Linked DNA regions of Callithrix jacchus. The protein of the gene in region 3 interacts with the protein of the main gene of each other region in a biochemical or structural test. Links are inferred from orthologs where the notes say so. Each region holds a gene or a part of one and is shown on either strand. Other genes may lie near its edges.

Region 1 (4,629 bases), on a different chromosome or scaffold from region 3:
AGTAATTAGAGGCTGGTGCGGTGGCTCACGCCTGTAATCCCAGCACTCTGGGAGGTCAAGGTGGGCAGATCTCTTGAGGTCAGGAGTTTGAGACAAGCCTGGCCAACATGGTGAGACCCTGTCTCTACTAAACAAACGGACAAACAAAAAATACAACAGTTAGCCAGGTGTGGTGGTGCACACCTGTAGTCCTAGCTCCTCAGGAAGCGGAGGCAGGAAAGTCACCTGGGCCTGGGAGGTGGAGGTTGCAGTGAGCTGAGACTACACTACCGCACTCCAGCCTAGGCAACAGAGCAAGACACCGTCCAAAAAAAAAAAAAAGAGTAATTAGTAATTAGAATACTTTCTTTTTCATTGGCAACTAAGAAAGCTAAGGAGAGGATCATGAACAAAGTTGGATGACAGGAACCTTTTGGTCAAATGATTCTTGAAAGGAAACATCCCTGGGTGCACGCCACTCATCATTAGGGGTGGAAGTTTAAAAGGAGGAATGATAAGCACCTTTGCAAGGCATTCTGTTCACCACAGCGGGGCAGAGCAGCAGTGAGGCGCTGGTGCAGACTCCCTGGGCAGAATCCTGCCTCTTCCTGGGTGCCCTTAGACTAACTTAACCTCTCTGGGCCTTGCTTCCTCATCAGTCAAAATGAAGATATGAAAAGCACGGTGACCTCCAATGAGGGTATCTAGGGCCATCACAACTGTTAACTGAGGTGACAAACAGCTCTCAGAAGAGAGCCTGGCAATGTGCAAGTGCTCGATAAACACTCCCTGGGGTCAGAAAAGGCACAGAGGCAGCTGCTAATCTTAAGCATGTCTTTTTTTTATTTTTTATTTTGAGACAGAATTTTGCTCTTGTTGTACAGGCTGGAGTGTAATGGCATGGTCTCAGCTCACTATAACCTCCACCTCCCAAGTTCGAGAGATCTCAGCCTCCCAAGTAGCTGGGATTAAGGCACCTGCCACCACGCCCAGATAATTTCTGTATTTTTAAAGAACTTGGGGATAAAAGTCAAACAAAATAACTTACAATTAACATTTACAAATTCAGGCAGAAATAGAAACGTCAGGAGAAAGGCTGGTCTCTTTTCCCCCCAGCGTTCGGTGGCCACCTTTCATCAGTGCCCACAGCCGGGACCCACCACACTCAAAGCGGACGTTTCAAATCAAGCTGGAGCCACGAGCTGCCAGATCTATATCAAGTGACGCATGTTTCACTTCCTTATCGCTGGGCAGAATTGCGATACTTCTGGAGAGTTTTCAAAGAAGATGACAACAGAATAGCTTTGTTTAACCCGGAGTTAACAGAGGTGGTTGTTCGAGAACAGTTAACTCCCTGAGAGTTATTCCAGCATTTACAACCATTTTTAACTGGATTCTTTTCACTCAGGTTTCTGTTTAACCCACTTGATAAAAAAAAAAAAAAAAAAAAAAAAGCCTCTGGCGTGGTGCCTTATCCCTTGGCTCGTGGGAGCATCCCCTCCCTGGCTGCCGGCCTGGTTTCAGATCATGGCCTTCCCTCCTCTACTGAAGGGCTGCTGGGTTCCAGGCTCTGAGCCGTATCCATAGCCCGGGGTCCCAACCGCTAAGGAGGCTAAGGAGGCACCCATCGCTGGAGGTGGCCGCCAGGGAGCTCAGTTCAGGACCCTACTCCATCCATGTGGTCCCTAACATGAGCGTGACCCTCCTTAACCCATCCCCCGGAGCTTCACCAAATAAAATGTCCAAAACACACACTGGCTGTTCCCTGACCTTTCCTTCCTCTGAAAAGCTCTCTCTCCAGGCGGGGCGTTCTGCGGTCAAGATGAGGCAGAGACCTCCCAGGAACGAAGTCCACGCCCTCCCAAAGCCGGGCGAGCCACGCGCCCCTCACCCACCCGCAGAGAAGCCGAGCACTTGTTGATTCTCACGTTGTTGCAATCGGAAAACGGAACAAGGAACCAGAACGCGCCTGTTTCCAGGCAGAGTCGCACAGGGATCCCTAAAGACACTTGAACCCCTTCCCGAGCCCCACTCCACCTCCCGAAACAGGGGGTTCAGGTGGACGCGAAAGGGCACAGGCGCTGCCCCCGGCGCCCGGGAAGACCTAGGGTGGCGGCAAATGACTGCGCGGTCACATACGCCGGCCTCGGGGGCACCCCGCACCCCACGCCCCCGGCCCAGGACAGGCCGTCGGGCCCGGGAGGGGCAGCCGGGGAGACCCCGGCCCCGCGAGCCCAGCGCTCAGCACCGCGAGGGAGGACCGGCAGCTGCGGGCGCGCACGTGGGTCCAGGTGGGCGCAGCGACTGGCCAGCCGAGGAGCCCGAGACAGGCCGCGAGAAGGCGGAAGCCCAAACCCAGGCTCTCGCCGCCGCTCTCGGAGTTCGGAGGGAAACTGCGCTTCACCTCGGGGGGGAGCAGCCGGGACGTGATTGGCAGGCGCCCGGAGGACCCCCCAGCGCGCCCTCGCCGCCCGCACCCTCTCCGCACCTGAGTGGCCGCTTCTGACCGCCGTCCCTCCCACCCGAGACTCCTCCCCTCAGCCCCGGGGCCCGAGGCCCAGCGGTTTCTACGACCCCGGGACGCCGGGCCTGGCTGAAGACCACCCTGGACACCTGTCAGGATCCCACCCCGGCGCAGTAAACCCGAGTCTACACCCGCGCCCGCCCCCTCGCAGTAGAGATCGGGGACAGGGCCGTGGGTTCGGGTCAGGGGCCCCCGGCTGCCACCTGCCCGGTCACCTGCGCTACTGCCCAGGTTCCCCCTGCGCGTTCTCGGCCGAGAAAGGGACTCGGAGTCCGGGCGCCGGGACAGCTCCTGTTCCCAACTCTCAGTCCACGGCTCCCGCGGGGATCGGCCCCGGGTACCCGCCCAGGTCTCCGCGGTCCCCGCTCGGAGGGGCGCGGAGACAAAGGCGCCAGAGCCGCCCCCCACCCGCCCCCGAGGGTCACTCACCGGCGCTGCGCTCGCTGCTCAGAGGCCGAGGGGTGCCGCGGGGTCCCAGGCCCGGGCGCGCAGGTCCCGGCTTCAAGCGCCGGCTCGCGGGGTCCCCAGACAGCCTGCACCGCCTTCCGGGGTCGGGAGCCCTAGGCCGCCGGGGCGGGAGGCGGCTTCTCGCGGGTGCGCGGCGGCGGAGACTGAAGGCGGCTCCGAGGGACGGGCGCGCACTCCGCTCCCGGCCCCGCCTCCCCGGGCTTCCTGCGCGCCAGGTAAACACAGGCCCAGCCCGCCGGGCCCGTCCCCCCACCCCCGACGCGGCCTCCCGGGAAGCTCCGAGGCCCCCGGGCCCGCTTTGCCCACGCGGAGTTCGGAGCCGGGGGGGGGGGTCGCACGGGATTCACGCTCAGGGTCGGGCCTCGGAGAAGGGGCGGCCTGGAGCCTCGCCCGAGACCCTTCCCCCGTGGCTCGGCCTCCGAACTCACCCGGACCCCGACCTTGCCGGAGGGGAGCGAGGCCGCATCTCCCCTTGTCCTCAGGGGCTGGAAACCCCAGAAACTGCTGAAGGACTTGGCGCGGCCCCGACCCTGCAGGAGGAGGGTCAGCCCGCCCTGGAGGCGGGAGGAGCGGGCAGGTCCTCCCAGGCGCGCCCTCCCTCCCCTGCAGCCCCGCCCAGGCCCACCTGCGGCCGGCAGGTGCTCCGCTGGGCGCCGGGAGCGCACCTTCGCCTGCAGGAGGGGCGCAGGAAGTCCGCGCGGACAAGACAGCCAAACGCGCCAGGTGCGGGGAAGCCGCCTGGTCCCGCGGCACGGAGGCGTCGTGGTCTTCGTCACTCTACTGTTAAACAGAAAAACTGACCTGCACACACAGTTGGTGGTCAGGGAGATCTTTCCCTGGATTCTCGGTCACCTGATGGAGGAGGAGGAGGAGGTGGGGAGTCCCCGAATGAGCCCCCGCATTCCTCCTGACCTGCACCCCCACTCAGGGATCTGGACCCGGGGCTTCCGGAGGCAGCCTGGGACCCACAGTTCGTCAGGAGGTGAGGGAGAGGACTGAGCGCTGTCCGGGCCGCGCTGCGAGGCGGCTCCAGCGGGGGTCGGGGTTGCGGCCTAAAACCAGCCTCCCCGGAAGACCCGGAAGATTTAGCAACTGTGTTCAAATGCTGCTTAACTGAAGAGAAATATTTAGACGATGGTACAAAGCATTTAGTCTGGGCCTTTCCTCAGGAGAGATTTTCAAGTGGAGAGGGCAGGAGGGTTCTAGGAATTTGAGGCTGAAGGTGAGAAGGGGCAGGGAAAAGGGTGTCAGAGGTAAAGTGTGCTTCTCGGATTTTTCCGTCCCCACAACCTCACTTTAAGTCAAGGATGAGCGAGTGGGTGTGGGAGGCTGGACAGCTGCCCTAGGAGCACGGGTGGTGACAGTGAATGCAGGTGCACCCGGGTCCCAGCTCAAGTCACTCAAGCCCAGGCCGGGAAGCTGGAACACTGGGTCCTATTTTGGATACCTGCTTTAACATCAGAAACAGCTTTTCTTCTCCAAAATATCTCTTGGCTTTATCTCCGTGACTCCACAGGCGGAGCCACCTTCCTGCCTGCTGATGTCCCTGCAGCTGGGCTCTGGGCACTGGAGCGTCCCTCAGACCACAGTGACAGCAGCAGCAGGCGGCCTTCTGTTCTGTGCTCTTTCTGCTGGGGTTTCAGTGGTTTCCTGAAACA
Region 2 (4,141 bases), on a different chromosome or scaffold from region 3:
CTAGAACCACTGACAAACTATATTCATTTGGGGATTATTCTAACAGTGCCCATTTAATCATATACTCACCTGGTCTCTTAGTTTTAAAGCAAAAACCATAGGTCTGCAAGAACATATTTTGCCATTCCCCATATTTAAGGAGAGCAAAGGAAATTTTCAAGTTTACCCCTACTTAGTTCTTCATAAATCAATGAGTAAGTTATCAAATTTCTTTCATATTTTCTCATTTAAAATTCAAGTTATATTTGGCAAAAACTTAGAATATTAATAATCAGAATTCTAATTAGCATCTATATTGGTATAGTAAAGGCTAGTTATCATATATCAAATATATAGTCAGAAATCTTTATTAGTCTGTCTTTATTTAAACCATATAAGTTATGTTCTTGATAATAAAGCTGAAGAACATCATTAGCTTGACATGACTCAACAAAGATTTGAAAACATGAACATGGAACTAGTGCATATAAAGTTTTTTTTTGTCCTCCAATTCCTTGATAAGTGGTCATCATTCTAAATATAATGCTCTCCTAATGCCTGATCAATGATTTATTAGTTAGAATGTTCAGAATGTGACTTTTTTGCTAAAGAATACAACACAATTGATTTCACTAAGGATCAGGAAGTAGCCATCATTATCACCATAATATGGATTAATAATCACTATTAAAAAACTACCTAAGTATACATTTTCATACAGTGGCATGGGACTGTATAAATTTTTTTGTTTTGTTTGTTTTGTTTTGTTTTGTTTAAAGACGGGGTTTCACCATGTTTGTCAGACTGGTCTTGAACTCACAACCTCAGGTGATCCGCCCGCCTTGGCCTCCAAAGTGCTTGGATTACAGGTGTGAGCCACCACACCCGGCCTGTAAATTTTCTTATATAGAGATAACGTGGCATTTTAACAGCTTGGAACAAGTAGAAGGAGTCAGTACACAGATATCCAACTATAAGAACACCAAATAAATAAAGGATGATATAGAGGCACATGAGAGCATTTGTATCATATTGCCAGTTATTTATTACTTCATATTTTTCTGTAGAGTTTGCAATTTTTACCATGAGTATGTACTACTTAAATAATTAAATATACCATGCAAATATTTTCTAAAAGACTAATATATCTCCCTTTTCTTGTCCATGAGGGACAACCATATGGGCTGACAATTTCTGAAATGAGACTACATTAACTATACTAGCTAATCTGCCTCCTACTTTACACAAATAAAGTCAGTTTCAAATAGCCCCTGATAATATATAATTAGTCAACTGAAGCACTTCAAAGCCAGAGAGCACTTGTGGTTGGATGGGAAGATAATATAATGATTTATAGTTGCACACAACCTTTCATCTTAGAATTTAAAACAGCTTCATACTAATCATTTTGCTGATCCACAGCACCCTTGTGTAGTAGAGATAGAGACCTGCCCAAGGTAAGGTGGTAAAGAGGTTGCCAACAGGATTAGGAATGGACCTCTAAAGACTTAATTGACAGTAATCTACATTTAATATAACCAGCAGAATGAACAAAATCCACAGGAAGCAAAATTTATAGGACATCCAATAAACTACAAACTAAAAGTACTCAACCTAAAGTAACCTGCATTGTTTAGCAGATTGACTACTTACAAAAATATTAAAGTGTTTTGAAACATATAACCAAACTGGTTCAAAAACTGTTTACAAAAGAAGATACCCCTAGCAGTCAGGAAATCTGATAACTAAATTTGTAAACCCATCCAAGTAAATAGATTTTCTTTCCCCCTAGATTCTCATTATGTTACTTAAATAAACAAATAGACTCAAGAGTCTAGCTTATTTGAAATGAAGAAAGCGTTGTATTTTTATTCTTGGATCAAAATTATCCCCCTTTCATTCTTTACTACCTCTCTAACGAGAAAATACACACACCTTGTTCCTGGAGTCATTTTTGTTGGTGTTGGCAGACCTTCTGAAATTTTATATGGACTCTTCAGGGGTGATATATAGATGTTCCCTCCAGGAATCCGTAAGGGTGAACTAGGAAACTTATAAGGGCTTCGAGGAATGTGAGGTATTGGTGACAAGGTAGGGGGCTAGAGCAAAAACAAAAAAGTAGTATTATTTATTTAATGTTTTAATGGGACCCATTACTTTATAATTAGATATTTCCAATCAAAGGATACTTTTGACTTACCCTGGTGGAAGCATACTGCAAAATATTTGTTTTCAGTCTCTGCATGAAGACTGAGTTATAGAATACTATAATAGAATCATACTCCTCTTCTTTGATCAAAACACGTTTGAAAGTCTGAGGAAGAAGAGTAAAAAAAAAAAAGTAAAATTCACTTGTTAAATTAATTTTAAAATTTCTACCTTTAGATTTTCTTTTCTAAAAGTTTGTAAAACTTTTTGACTGGTAAGAAGCACATATTATACAGGAAAAAATAATCTAAAATGCCTTCTTAGGTTTGAATTATAGATGCTCTACTAGAAGCGAAATGTCATAGGATTATTGAGAAAAACAGCCAGGCAGCAGATGGAATAGCTGGCCATCCAAGAAGAGAGAGTAGACAGGCTGGTAGAATGGAAAGCATTATGGGAATCAAAGGGCCAGAACTAAGTGAAAGCCAATGACATTATCCATTAATATTTAGACTATATCCTCTGGCCTGTACCTCCCTGTATCGCCCCATTCTATAAGGGTTTAAATAGCATTACTCAATTGCAGGAAGTAGACACTTAGTAAAAGCACTATATTTTAGTGTTAGATTTCACTCAAATTTTAGTTAGGTAAAAACACAGAGGTTATATCAAATGCCTCTGACACATTATACACTTAAATGATTGAATTTAAAATAACTTCAAACATACAAACAAAAATGACTTGGTTTGTATTACTTTTGAAAACTCTAATAATAAATGGGAAAGATATCCCACAACTCACTTTCCACAGAACCGTATGAAACGTGTCATACCAAGTATATTTTACTACTCCTGTTTCTCTAAAGGGAAGGTAAATGTGTTTAGAAATACAAAATGTGTTTATACTGAACATATTTATTATTTCTTTGCAAGGTTGCATTTATGCTGACTTTTCCTATAAAGTAATAAAAATAAAAGATCATCTAATGTACTATGACTCATGCCAGGTTTATTATAAATACTTGCTTATTACACAGATAAAGCATTACTTGTTAAATTTATAAAAAAACCACGAATATGGATAATTTCATAATTTATCTTATCTTTCCAATTCCATTTAAGCATTTAAGTTACAAATAAATAATATAAAAATTTTTATTTGTAAATTTACATAAGATCAGAATATATGAGCCTGTGAATGAATAAAATTATCTTTATTACAGATATGGATTTATCAAACTTACTATGGAAAATCACCTACCTCCTGAACAGCATGAGGAAGATCTTTGTATGCTGTTACAATGATTTTGAATTTAAGGTCTATATTCTTCACTTTGCATATGCCATACATGGAACACATCATAATCTAGTAAATAAATATGATGTAAAACTAGTCAGAATTTTATTATGTGGTTTTGCTCTAAAAAAAAATAGTTTTCTTCCTTTTAGCCTCAAAAAAGAAAAGTTTAATTTCCTACATAGTTATTTCTTTCCATACTGAGCTCAATTTGAAACTCTACATGAAGTGTTTAACCCAAAGTGTATTTAAAGAACAAAATGCAAATGACCAAGGCTCAATTATTTAGGACTGATCACCTGGTTTGTAAATTACCCTAACTTTGGCTCCTGTCCCTTAAATGTTTCCCAGAAAAGTTGAAACTAGAATCAGTTAATTTTGCATAACTAGCACTTAAAAAAGCCAGGTGTTAAAATGTTTCAAACTAGCAGATAATATTGAACATACTTGGTGGTAGTGGTGAGGGTAAGGTGACTGGAAGGGCATGTAAGAGAGTCTTATGTGTTGTTGACAATGTTTTGTTTCTTGATCTGGATGTTGGTTATATAACTAAGTTAGTTGATGAATTTTCATTAGAAGGTATCCTTTTGAGATGCAGGTTTTTATATATGTGTATTACATTTCAATAGAAGATATTTAAAAATGATTCCCTGTGACTTTAAATGTCAGACTTTATTTGTATGAACTTTATAGCCTAATTTAAGTACTCATTACTTC
Region 3 (4,141 bases):
TGTACAGTTTGGCAAAATTATATATCCACTCAACTGTCACATTTATGATAAAGAACTTTTTTTTTCTTTCGAGTTGGAGTCTTGCTCTGTCACCCAGTCTGGAAGTGCAGTGGTTTGATCTCAGCTCACGGCAACCTCCACCTACCGAGTTCAAGTGATTCTCCTGCCTCAGCTTCCCGAGTAGCTGGGACTACAGGGGCATGCCACCACGCCTAGCTAATTTTGTATTTTTAGTAGAGACAGGGTTTCACCATGTTGGCCAGGATGGTCTCCATCTCCTGACCTTGTGATCCACCCTCCTTGGCCTCCCAAAGTGCTGGGATTGCAGGCATAAGTCACCGCTCCTGGCCAAGAACATTTCTGTTACTTTAAAAAGTCTGTTGTGCTCCTTCCTAGTCAATCCCCACCCTTCCACCCCTAATTCTCGCTCAAAGCAACTATGGATCTGCTTCTAACACTATGATTCGTTTTATCTTTTCTGGAGTTTCATGTACATGGAATCATATAGTGTGTATTTTTGTGTATCTAGCCTTTGCTTAGTGTAATGATTCTGTATTGTTGTGTCAATGTTTTTTTCCTTTTTATTGCTAATAGTATTTTGTTTTATGAACATGTCAGGATTTTTAAATCTGTCCACCTGCTGATGGACATTTGCTTTAGTTTGACTATGAGGCTATGTAAAGCAACTGTGAATATTCATGTGCAAACCTTTGTATGGCCATAAGTTCTCATTGCGCTTGATTAAATACCAAGGAGTGACATTTTTGTTTTGCTTTTTGTAATTCAGTTTTTTGAGTTTTCACTGTAAGTTTACCATGCACTCTAAGCATGGACCAGGAAATCTCTTTATAAAAGTGCTATCTTGTTTTCCTTTTTAAAAAGGCAACAGAGTTGTTGTTGTTGTTGTTTTCCCCTGCCTGTTTATAAGTCTTAACAGTTTGTCTGTTCCTCTTCTGCCCTTTAGATCCTGGATTTTGGACTGGCTCGGCACACAGATGATGAAATGACAGGCTACGTGGCCACTAGGTGGTATAGGGCTCCTGAGATCATGCTGAACTGGATGCATTACAACCAGACAGGTATTACTTGCACTGGTTATTTAGGGCCTTATTTAATTCTATGTTGGATGCATTTGGGATTCTCAGAAGTAGAGATTATGGGAGGGGAGAGAAATATCTTTTCTTTCCTCAGTGATCCTTTTAAAGCCTACAGGTGAAAACATTTCACTTGCTCAGATGGGGAATTGGGGTTTTATATACAGCTTTTAAAGCTCGTGATTTAGCAACTGGGTTTTTATTTATTTAGATTTTGAATTTATTCTCTGAGTATTTATACCTGAAGACAAAGAGTCCATAATTTTAACCCCTCAATATTACTTGGAAGAATCTACCATTCTTTTGCTCCTTTTTTGAACAGCTTATTTCTCCTTTTTTTTTTTTTTTTTATTTCTCTTAAGTATGTTTTGACTTACCCCACCTTTGAACAGCCCTTTAGTGGGGTAAAGATCAAGCTCATTTATTTCTGTAAAAATGAGAATGATTGTTGAGGCTCAGAGGTTTTAAATAGTAATTTGAGTATTTCACTCCTAGTTATGGTTTTATTTGTTGCCAAGTATAATAACAGTGACATCACATGTACTTTTATTTCTCTTTAATATTGCCAGTTGATATTTGGTCAGTGGGATGCATAATGGCCGAGCTGTTGACTGGAAGAACATTGTTTCCTGGCACAGACCGTATCCTTTAAAAAGTTTTGGATTCTTGTTTCTTATTTGTATTCTGGTGTCCATGGATGTATACTCCTTTTACTTATCTCTAGGGAAGGCTCTCAGTTTTTTGCTTTTATAGTCCAGATAATATGTTATGAGGTCTCCCTTCTTACTGAGTAGCTTGCCCTGCCAAGAAAGAGGCTTCAGTTTACTTTCATGAGTTGGAAAAAATTCCTCCTAAGCTGAAAAACCCTTCAAATCTGTCATCTTTTTGCAACAAACCCTTATTAATCATCCCACAGTGGTTCTGAGACCTGAGCATACTCATGAAAAGCTCTGGATCCCAATGACAGGTTTAGTTTACTTGTATAAACACTTAATGAGTACAAGATACCCATTTATAATTAAAGGGTGTCTTGCTATTATGTTTGTTTTATGTATCAAAAAGGCTATGTTTGGTACCTGCAATGATATATTGTTTATTTGTTATGTTTGTTTTTTGACAACAAATAGTAAAAGCAAGAAGTGACAAGGTTACCCTGTCATGTGCTTTTTTTTTTTCCCAGCACAACTTTATCTCAGATGGCAGCCAAACCAATTAATTTACTCCCAGACTTACCGTCTAGTTTATGGTTTATTATATAGCCCCTTTATTTTAGCTCCTTTTCTATCTGCAGTATGCTTGTTTCATGGTTTAGTAATAATGTCATGAAAATGTGATTTATTGGAACTCTCATCAGTTCTACTTATGGAAGATGTTTAGGTAAGAAAGAATGTTAAAACATATGTCTAGAATTAGTTTTGGGGATTTTTTTTTTAAATATAATTGAGTTAACTAGCCTTCAAGTGGTTTTGGTTGGGCTGTTAGATATGCTACAATTACTTCCGATCTATTATGCCTAGAGATGTAAAAGCCATTTTAGTCCCTTACCTAAATAAATGGATGAGTTTATAAACCAGAATGTCAGTTCACTTTGCTCACAGTTTGGGATATACTTCTATAATGACTATGATGTCCATGATACCTACCCCTGTGTTCTGTCTTCTGCCACAGAGAATGTACTTTCATTATGAACTGAAAAAAACCTCTATTTCTTAGGTAAAGCTGTTTCTTTCTCTCTGAATGTTACTGGATTGATACAGACTCCCTGTACTTCAGGCTCCCTGTACTTAGCTTACCTTATTACTCCCTACCTCTGGATTTTAAGTTAGTTTAATACCTGGTATTTCTCCTTTGTCCTTTGCTTCCTTCACCTTATATCTGTTTCTTGGAAATTTGGTATGTATGTGTGTGCATATATATATGTGTGTATATATATATATATATGTGTGTGTGCGTGTATATATATATGTGTATGTACACACACACACACACACACACACACACACACACACATATTACACTCCAAGGTAAGAGAATTAGGGAAAATTTATACTTCCCCCTTTCCTCAGGTACTTATCTCAGAGTCCTATCCTTGGTTTGTCCTCTGGAATAGCTGCTATCCTGATGCTATTCCCTGTTCCCTCCTCCCTTTCCTTTTTTTGTGTCTGTATCTCCAGCTACCCATTCAGTCAGTCACAGACCTCCATGCCTGTGTAGACACAGAAGGTGGCAAAGGGAGAAAGACTGTATAGCATACAGGTTAAGCACATGCTCTGGAGCCAGACTTCCTGGGTTTAGATCTTAGCTCTTTTATTTCCAGCTATGTAACTTTGAGCAAGTTTTCTAACCTCTGTGCCTCTCAGTTTCCTTAACCATAAAATGATAATAATCATACGTACTCACAAGGTTGTTGTAAGAATTCAGCCAGATAATAACTGGAAAGTAGCCGGGCGCGGTGGCTCACGCCTGTAATCCCAGCACTTTGGGAGGCCGAGGTGGGTGGATCACGAGGTCAAGAGATCGAGACCATCCTGGTCAACATGGTGAAACCCCGTCTCTACTAAAAATACAAAAAATTAGCTGGGCATGGTGGCGTGGTGAGCCGAGATCGCGCCATTGCACTCCAGCCTGGGTAACAAGAGCGAAACTCCGCCTCAAAAAAAAAAAAAAAAATAACTGGAAAGTACTGAGACAAGCCTGCCAGTAAATGTTAGCCATCATCTTCAGTAATGACCTTTGCAAAACATTACCCCTACACCTCCCACTGTATTGTCTACCTATGAATCATTAATGGTCTTTTGTTTGTTTGTTTTGACAGGTAGGAAAGGATGGGTCCCTTGGCAGACTAGTGTTAAAAAGTTTTCAAAGCAATGTTGGTCTTATGCCCTTATGGTTCCGTCTCACAGGCAGCTAGCTGTCTATTCCCTGATGGCATGACCTTTTTAATTTTTAAACGCTAACTTTCTGCCCGAAGGAAGTCTTCCTTTTGTGCCTATATCTTTTTCTTCTGTGAGCTAGTGTTTAAACTAGCTAGTGTTTAAACTTTTTAA
Region 4 (4,618 bases), on a different chromosome or scaffold from region 3:
CTGATCTTATCGGCACAGTTAATGTGGACAGCTCCTTGGATGTGACTCTTGTTGTACTCCATGAAGGGCCTGCAGTCAATGATGACAGGACCCTGACTTGGCAGGTGACTCTTGCTGCCTTTGGTCATCTTCTTTGCCAAGTCATTGGGGTAGATTATTTTGATGCTGGCTAGCTGTTTGGGGGTCCCTGACACAGGGCTGCCCACCCCACCTGATGGACTTAAAGAGCCTGTATTCTCATTATTGTTGACCATCTGGTTAGCAGGGCAGGTGGTAGAGGTTCCGATGGCAGTGGTGGTGGTGCCAGCGGCGATGGCTTGGGTTTGGGCCTGATTGTCCTTGTCGTAGGTTGCCACAGTGCAGCAGCTGGCACTGCTGCATCCACAATTCAGAGAGCGGGCAGAGCCGCTGGATGAGGGCATATACGTCAGATTCGCAGCCTTGAGGGACACAACGGTGGTGGCGATGACAGGAGGGTGGCTGTTACTGCCTGGGGCGGCAGAGCCAAGGTAGCTAGAGTCTAAACAAAGGTTGAGATCCTGAGGTCGGACGGGCCTAGATAGTGCCACTACTACCCTGTCGTCTAAAGGAGACGGAGGCATGAGGAGGCTGAAAACTGGCAATTCAAGAAGAACTCAAGACAGTCTGTAAAGAAGGGGAAGGGGAAAAGAAAGAATAAAGTCACGTGACACAAAAGGCAGTCTCATCCAATCCCTAGGAAAAGCCGTTGTATCCTGCTGAGCAAAGTTGTCCTAGTTGCCCTTTATCATACCACTGTCAAAACTTGAAACTCATTTTTATGTATTCAAAGAGGATGCAAATCCGAGGGCCCCAATCTATTTGGTTGCTAAGTCTAAGGTTAAATTTGGATGTAATGCTGTAAATGTTAATGAACAACCTTTCCTGGACCTACATAAAAGTTCAGCTGTAGAGAAGGTAAAAGCACAAATAATTAGAAAAGCTGAAGACAGAAGGGAAGATTCTTAAGAGGCGTCTATTCTGAACCTCAGCTCTTGGGAAGAAGTACACTACAAACATCTGAGAAAGACCCATTTGTCCACCCTTGCATGTTTGCCATTATTTAATTCCCTCACTTGCTTCAAAGGCAAAGGGATAATCAAGAGCACTGGCGTGGCTGACAGAAATGTACAGCAGCTAAATATACATCAGGGTGGATGTCAACTTTCTGCAAATCAAATAAAAGGATCCCCTTAAGTGAATCTCCTTAACCTGGAGCTATTTTTGCCTTCCATTCTATTGAGGTCCTTTGAAAAGCACAACATAGTCATTTTAAAACCTCACATATTTTCCTTTGGCCTCTTATGAATTAATCTGCATTTCCCTTTTTTGACTACTAACTAGTGTCCCAAAACGAAATCTTAAGCCATGAAGCCAGATCTGGAAACACCAACCCCAGCAAATCCATCACGCTTTGCTCCCCCACCTACCCCCACCTACCCCCACCCTCACTCCTGCCTGGAAAGGACAACTTGGGCTCTTCTCCCCTCTTCATCTTTCCGGCTGGCACAGACTGTGCATCCTAGAGCTTCTCTCAATGGGAGGCAGACACGTTGTATAAGGTTTCAATTCCATACAGATAGATATCCCCCCTTAAAGAGTACTGATGCCATAAAGAGGGCTTCCCAATTAGCCTGTGCCCGTTGAAAGGGGCAGTGAATTGTTGCCCATGGGATCTATCTCTGATTTCAAAGAGTGTCTGCAAAAAGACAGCTCCTTCCTCCTGTAGGCAGAGGGACACTCTACGACCCGGGCTTGCTAACTCTTCTTCTATTAGGCATACACACAGCAAAGACAGCAAACATCATGCAAGAGCCACTCACCTAAACGAACTTTAAGAGCTATCTGGAAAAATGCCATCTAGCATTTGTCTACACACGACCGTCCCATTCTCTGACATAGAACCAAAGTGTCACAGACGGAATCCACACTCACGCGCGCACACGGGGGCACGCACCCATCACGTCGGCAGATCTCCACCGACTCAGGTTTCTCTCACCCACCTTTGGATGGGAGCGAAGGATCCAACCCCCTCCCTCCCTTGCGTAGTATTTTTTCTGAAGAGCGAGTACTATTCCAGAAGCTATAACTGTTTCCAGGCTGGACCAAGCAGCGAAAGTCTTCGCTATTGTGTTACCTGGTAGGGCACGTCCAGGATCAACAGCCCATTTCTTTTGAGAGAGAAGCATAAGCGTGTTCACAGAGACACACGCTGGGACCCCCACTTTCACACAGAGTGCGCGGCACACACACACACACACACACACACACCCCGAGTGTATAGAGATCTGCATCCCTGCAGCATAGGGTCGGGCGTATATATCGCCTGTGAAACCAACCAGTCTGGCTCAGAAAAATCTCCCAGAGAAATACTGAGCTATCCCCTCTCCCTTCCACCACTGGAGAGAAAATTAAGTGGTAAGAGAAGCCTTCTTCCCCACTCCTGGAGCACTTAACATCCCCCAGCTCCCCCTTCGCTCCTCGGCACACAGCGCGCTAATGAGCCCCGGGCATTTAAAACTGCAGCAAAGCATCCCAACAAACCTCATTTTTTCTTCGCCCAAAATCCAAGTAGACTGCAGAGAGAGTAAACGCACAGAGCAGCAGGAGCCAACAGCCGGAACCTTATAACCCTACCTGCTGTGGCTCCTCCGTCAGCATCGCCTCTCTATATTTCTGTCTCTCTCACATACACACACACTCACACTCACACACACACACACACACGCACTGCCTTACACTCCTCCACTTCCAGTCCCGGGCTCTCAGGAGTAGTGGCGGTGACTTCCAACTTACTTCATAAATAAGTGTAGCCCTCCACCATCTGGCGCTCGGCTTCAGCTATGGACTCGCACATTCAGCCCCCATTCACTTGGCTTCATTGATCTCCAGCAGCAACATAGTTACTTTCTCTTTTGCTACACTGTAAATGTAAGGTTCCGAGGGGGCGGGCCCGCCGCCGACCGACGGCGCGTTGGACCAATAAAAGTCCGGGGAAAGCCGACCGCTACCTCACAGAGCCCTTCGGCCAATGGGCAGCCTAGGGGGCGGGGAAGAAGGCGTGGCCTCGTCTCCTTAAGGAGGGCTTATCCGACGCGGCTCTGGGTCCTCTGTGTTATAACACGGGCGGTGATGTCATTGGCAACCAATCAAAAACTTAAAAGAGCCAGCCGGGGCCGCGCGGAGCAGCTGCTCTCTATTTACATGTAAACCGAACCGGCAGGATGCAGTTAACCCTTTACCCGGCTGCAGCGCCCGCGGGCTGGACGAGCCGCTCGGCTAAAGCTGGCTCCTCCCCCTGGACGGGATCCTCCAACGCTCCCTCCCCGGGGACAAACCACGCTCTCTGCTTTTCCTCCTTGCTATGGACGGATGATCCAAAGTGTCGGAGTAACTTTCTAAAGGAAAGACACTGCGATCACCGCCCCTAGTGGGAAAGCCGGGTTCTCCCCGAGTCGCTCGAGGTGACTTGACAAACCCTAACCCAGGATTCGCGGACCTCGCCGGGTCGTCGTGAGCGCGCAGCCAGGGCGACGCTTCTGCTCCCACGCGCGGAGGGCCCGAGTTCTGCAGCCGGCGGTCCCGGACAGGGAGGCCCTTCAGCCTCGGCGCGTCCGCCTCCCGCCCGCCCGCCCGCAGAGGTCGCTGCCCCTCCGGCTGCCCCTCCGGCCTCCCCGGCTTGACCGCCGCGCGCCGCCCTCCCGCACACCTACTTCGGCGCGCAGGTCACGCTCCTGCCGTCCCCAGGCTTTTCCTCCCCGGGCTCGACCCGGAGCACTAAGGCTGCGCCACTGAGGGCTGCTCGGAGGAAGAGGCCTGAGTCGACGTCCGAGGCGACGAGGGACGCGCCGGGAGCAGCGGTGCGGAGGCCAATCCCCCGGCCGGGCGTCCCGGGTCCGCCACGCGCCCGCCGCGCCTCCGGGGCTTGGTCCCAGCCGGCCGCCGCCCCCTTTCCCGCCTGGAGCGCTGGGTCCCCGCGCCGTGCCAGCCGCTCGCAGCCCACCCGCCCCACAGGCCTCGGGCGCCACCCCTCCGTCCCGCAGAGCCCCTGCCGAGCCCAGGACGGCCAGCCTAAGCTGGCATCAAACAGCCGGATCCGAGAGCAAATAGCCAGATTGAACGGGGTGAGAGCAGCGTGGAGGAGGCGACGCCGCGGCTCCCGCCTCCCCTGACTTTGGTCCGCCCGAGGTAGCGGGAGAGCTGGCCTCAGCGCACGTCCCGGGGGGACAGTGGGGGCGGGGCAGGCCGCCCCGGGCCGGGTCTGGAAAATACTCCTATCGGGGAAGCTGCAGGAAAGTTGCCCGGGGATACAAAAAGAAGTGGAGATGAACAAGCCCAAAGGAACTGTGGAGAGTCTTCATCCAGAACCCTAACGAAATCCAGCTTTTTCTTCTATCTGAGAGGAAGGGATAAAAAGTGAAATAATTGTGATGGAATAGTACACTATGAGCGCCAGGGAATGTTAGCCTATCACTTTTCTCCCTTACCTGATTGGTTGGGGTTTGGAGGTCTACTTCAGACTCCAGGCCTAATAGTATTCTAAGTAGCAGGGGCATATTCATGTAACTGTTTTCAGGGCAGATCTGAAATCAGGAGGTGT
Region 5 (4,141 bases), on a different chromosome or scaffold from region 3:
CTTAGCTTATTTGAAGAAGTAAATACATCTGTGAACATTTAGAAACCGTTCCAGTGGCTCTTGTATAATTCAATTCATTCCATCTGTGCTCTCTTAATAAATTTTACAGAAAAACTCTTGGCAAGTTAGCATTATTTGTGTGTGAATTTTCCAATTGTATTTCAGACTTTAAGAAAGAAAGGCCTTAATGGTTGTGAGAGCCCTGATGCTGACGATTACTTTGAGCACAGTCCACTCTCGGAGGACAGATTCAGCAAACTAAATGAAGATAGTGATTTTATTTTCAAACGAGGCCCTGTAAGTACTTTTACTTTACCTCTACTTTTTATTTGTTGATCCTTTTTGTTAACTTCATTATTTAGGCTCTGAACAAGAAGGAACACAGAGGGTGCGACAGCCCAGACCCTGATACTTCATATGTGCTAACTCCACATACAGAAGAAAAATATAAAAAAATTAATGAGGAATTTGATAATATGATGCGGAATCATAAAATCGCAGTGAGTACTAAAGTATGGTTTGTGCTTTTATCTTGTGCATGAAGAGATTGACCAAACATCTTGTTGCTCATTTTTTATAGTGGGTGATGACAAGAAGTAGAAGGGAAGAAAGGCATTTTATTAGTATTTTTTATAAAACTTTAAGGTAAAATTGCTGAAGTCGTCTTATACATGTTCAGCATTTTAAATGTAGAAGTGAAGAGAAAACATGCCGATACAGACTCTGCCACTTCTTACCCCCAATACCTTTGGATAGGGCACCTAAACATCTTGAATTCTTTCTTCATCTATAAAGTAAGTGAGTTGGCTCTCATGGTTTTTAAGGTATCTTCCAGCTCTAAAATTCTATGATTTATAATATAGAGTATGTCTAAAACTTTCCCTCTACTCCCATGACTCAAAACCTTACATGTTCTTAAATAGATCTTGAGAAAGCAAAAGGTAAGGTAGTCAGGTTTGTTGCAAAACTTTTTCCTAAATTATTTTTAATTATTTGGTATAGTTACTGCAATAGTAGTAGAGCTAAGCTTACTGCTTTGCTGTTTGTAAATGTCCCCAAATCACTTGGCAACAATGCCACCACTTCTGTTTTTTTTTTGTTTTTTTTTTTTGAGGCAGAGTCTTGCTCTGTTGCCAGGTTGGAGTGCAGTGGTGTGATCTCGGCTCACTGCAACCTCTGTCTCCCAGGTTCAAGCAATTCTCCTGCCTCAGCCTCCTGAGTAGCTGTGACTACAGGTGCACGCCACCACTCCCAAATTTTTGTATTTTTAGTAGAGGTGGGGTTTCACCGTGTTGACCAGGATGGTCTCCATCTCTTTACCTCATGATCCGCCCACCTCGGCCTCCCAAAGTGCTGAGATTCCAGGCGTGAGCCACCACACCCAGCCAAGTTTTGTTCTTTTCTTATGCTATAGATACTAAGGAAGAGCAGCCTGGCTTAATTTTAATTTAAGACAGCAGTGTTCTTAAATTGATTGCAAAACAAATAGTGACTTTACAATTTCTGTATACTCATTTATCTAACCATAGCAAAAGAGTATTTGTCTTTGAGCTCATGCTCCTAAGCTTGATAGTTCTTCAAAGAGTTCTCACTGGAAGCTCCATTGGCAAGAGCTACTTAAAATGGTTATTCTGGATCTAATTTTCTAATTCTGTATATGTAGGTCAACCTCCCTTAAACAAATTAGTTTCAATGCTGACATTTATTTTAACATCAGAGTTAATTCTCTCAAAACTATGCCCTAAAGTATGCAAGTATGCATGATCATTTCTTCATAGTAATTCTGTACTACAGGTTGAGTATCCCTTACCTGAAATGCTTGGGACTAGAAGTGTTTCAGATTTCGGATTTTTTTTTTTTCCTCAAAATTTGGAATATTTGCATATGTAATATCTTAGGGACAGGACCCAAGTCTAAACATTAAATTCCTTAATGTTTCATACACATAGCCTGAAGAAAGTTTTATACAATATTTTTCATAATTTTGTACATGGAACAAAGTTTGTGTACATGGAACATTGGAGAGCAAAGGTGTCACTGTCTCAGCTACCCCTGTTGTAGGTCTTGGCCCCGAGCATTATGGGAAACTGCTGTTAGCATGTGTAGCCTACACATGTGCCATTTGATTACCCTCTGTGGGTGTGCTTGTGTGAGGGAGTCTGAGCATGCACAGAAAAGATACATCGAAGCTGAAGGGAGACTGGAAGGGTCCTTTTCCCTTGGGGACACTGAATAAACTGTGTATGCCTTCATTTCCACACGTGATGTCAGGTGTGGAATTTTCTATTTGTGGCATCATGTTGGTGCTCAAAAAGTTATGGATTTTGGGTTTTCAAATTAGGGATGCTCAACCTATATAAGAAGCCAGCTCACAAAAAAATAGCTTTAAGGAGTTATTTTGGGGCAAATACCATTATTATTCTTAAAAACGCTTCAGTGGCAAATAAAATGATGTCGTTGACCTTGCGGTTAATGTTAAAGTTGCAAAGATATTGCACAAATAAAACTGTTTTACTTTTGAAAAAAATTGTCATATGCCCACTGTTTTTATATTTGTTGATGTATTATAATTTTTCTACATGAAATAAACTATTGAATAAAGTCCAATAAAATATATTCTTCCAACTTTGAATTAGCAGTGTTACCTTACTTTTGGATGTTAGTCTTTTAAAATGAGGGCAGAGTAAAGTTGTTTTATTTTCTCCCGCTTTAAATTATAAAGAGGAACATTATTTATCATGGTTAACAAGCATATTGTAAATGGTCTATGGAGGAAATGCAAGAGAAAAATAGAAAATATCCTTTTAAAGGGGATATGGAATAATTTAGAGGGAGGGAAGATTAGCATTTATAATATTTGTAATTTAATCTTCATATAATTTAAAGAAGATACCAAAAACTTTATTACTTTTATTACTGGCTTGGTTAGTAGTTAATTTTGTTGTTTAGATTAGGTTTCTTTGCATTTTCATTATACTCAAATTGCATTGTTATGTATATAATTACTTTTTTTTTTTTTTCTGGTTTTGCCCTTTAGAAAGTCAGTTAAATCAGAATGGGGCATATTTATAATTAATGAAATTTGACATATTAAGTTAACAACATGTGTACCCACTTTTCTCCTTCTATTATATTTGGGATCTCCCAATAGAAATGTAAAGTAATTAAGCTGGTTTGCATCAAAGTGCCAATTTATGCTTATTTGATGACTGATATATTTTGTAATGCCTAAATTTGACAACACTACTTTATTATCAGGTTCATCCTCTTATTTTTGTGTTTATGAATATTTGAGATACAGAATATATACATTATATTGTATTTATATATATTAATATATAGAACTATGAAATTGAAAAGGCTCATGTCAGGCATATTCATGTTCAAATATAATTCCAAAGAAAATAGCTTTAATCTGTAAACTGGTTATGAACCTATCCCTATCCTGTACTTTTAGTAACTTGAGTTACCTTGCCAAATTAAAGTTCATAAGTTACTTTGTAGATGAATATGAAACCAACAGTCTTTTCCTTCTTGTTCTTTATTTACAGCCTGGTTTGCCACCTCAGAACTTTTCAATGTCTGTCACAGTTCCAGTGACCAGCCCCAATGCTTTGTCCTACACTAACCCAGGGAGTTCACTGGTGTCCCCATCTTTGGCAGCCAGCTCAACATTAACAGATTCAAGCATGCTCTCTCCACCTCAAAGCACATTACATAGAAATGTGTCCCCCGGAGCTCCTCAGAGGCCACCAAGTACTGGCAATGCAGGTAGGTGGTGATACCTGTTCTGCTGGTTCTTTAATAAAGAGAGAGGAAAAACTCATTGCTAACATAAGCAGTTTCTTATTTTGCTATTCTTAATTTTATTGCTTTGATGAGCAGGAATCACGGCTACATAATTGGCTCCATTTTAAAGTATTTTTTTGAAAATCAATTGTGGGTGTAGCATTGTGTCATGCAAACTAGAGCAGTACTGAGAACCTGCCATTTATACGCTTTTCCTTCTCATGGGAAAGCCATACTCTGACAGGCAGAAAATTCAGTTAGATATCACAAGCAAGGATTCAAAGTAGAGTGTGAGCCATTCATGTTAGAAATATGGGCGATAGACTTACCTGATTGGAGGTAGAGTATTTTT

The links.
Region 1: of the proteins of MAPK14 (region 3) and MBP, one has a biochemical effect on the other in vitro, tested with the Homo sapiens proteins (4 studies listed by BioGRID). The link is inferred for Callithrix jacchus from reciprocal best matches to the Homo sapiens genes MAPK14 and MBP.
Region 2: of the proteins of MAPK14 (region 3) and RB1, one has a biochemical effect on the other in vitro, tested with the Homo sapiens proteins (3 studies listed by BioGRID and IntAct). The link is inferred for Callithrix jacchus from reciprocal best matches to the Homo sapiens genes MAPK14 and RB1.
Region 4: the proteins of MAPK14 (region 3) and DUSP10 form a complex in vitro, tested with the Homo sapiens proteins (2 studies listed by BioGRID, with this or other methods). The link is inferred for Callithrix jacchus from reciprocal best matches to the Homo sapiens genes MAPK14 and DUSP10.
Region 5: of the proteins of MAPK14 (region 3) and MEF2A, one has a biochemical effect on the other in vitro, tested with the Homo sapiens proteins (2 studies listed by BioGRID). The link is inferred for Callithrix jacchus from reciprocal best matches to the Homo sapiens genes MAPK14 and MEF2A.

What each region holds. Positions count from the first base shown.
Region 1 is NC_133514.1:119,560,552-119,565,180, forward strand, and holds the start of MBP (myelin basic protein), read right to left. Parts: upstream 3,117-4,629; 5' UTR 2,933-3,116; intron 1-2,932. UniProt on the Homo sapiens protein: The classic group of MBP isoforms (isoform 4-isoform 14) are with PLP the most abundant protein components of the myelin membrane in the CNS. They have a role in both its formation and stabilization.
Region 2 is NC_133502.1:67,484,310-67,488,450, forward strand, and holds part of RB1 (retinoblastoma-associated protein), read right to left. Parts: intron 3,494-4,141; coding exon 3,389-3,493; intron 2,294-3,388; coding exon 2,180-2,293; intron 2,079-2,179; coding exon 1,915-2,078; intron 1-1,914. UniProt on the Homo sapiens protein: Tumor suppressor that is a key regulator of the G1/S transition of the cell cycle. The hypophosphorylated form binds transcription regulators of the E2F family, preventing transcription of E2F-responsive genes.
Region 3 is NC_133505.1:44,389,435-44,393,575, forward strand, and holds part of MAPK14 (mitogen-activated protein kinase 14), read left to right. Parts: intron 1-964; coding exon 965-1,079; intron 1,080-1,663; coding exon 1,664-1,735; intron 1,736-4,141. UniProt on the Homo sapiens protein: Serine/threonine kinase which acts as an essential component of the MAP kinase signal transduction pathway.
Region 4 is NC_133520.1:6,882,857-6,887,474, reverse strand, and holds the start of DUSP10 (dual specificity protein phosphatase 10), read right to left. Parts: upstream 2,924-4,618; 5' UTR 2,815-2,923; intron 2,005-2,814; exon of another isoform or gene 1,842-2,004; intron 646-1,841; 5' UTR 603-645; coding exon 1-602. UniProt on the Homo sapiens protein: Protein phosphatase involved in the inactivation of MAP kinases. Has a specificity for the MAPK11/MAPK12/MAPK13/MAPK14 subfamily. It preferably dephosphorylates p38.
Region 5 is NC_133507.1:10,021,925-10,026,065, reverse strand, and holds part of MEF2A (myocyte-specific enhancer factor 2A), read left to right. Parts: intron 1-165; coding exon 166-297; exon of another isoform or gene 298-362; coding exon 363-500; coding exon of another isoform or gene 501-512; intron 513-3,551; coding exon 3,552-3,771; intron 3,772-4,141. UniProt on the Homo sapiens protein: Transcriptional activator which binds specifically to the MEF2 element, 5'-YTA[AT](4)TAR-3', found in numerous muscle-specific genes. Also involved in the activation of numerous growth factor- and stress-induced genes.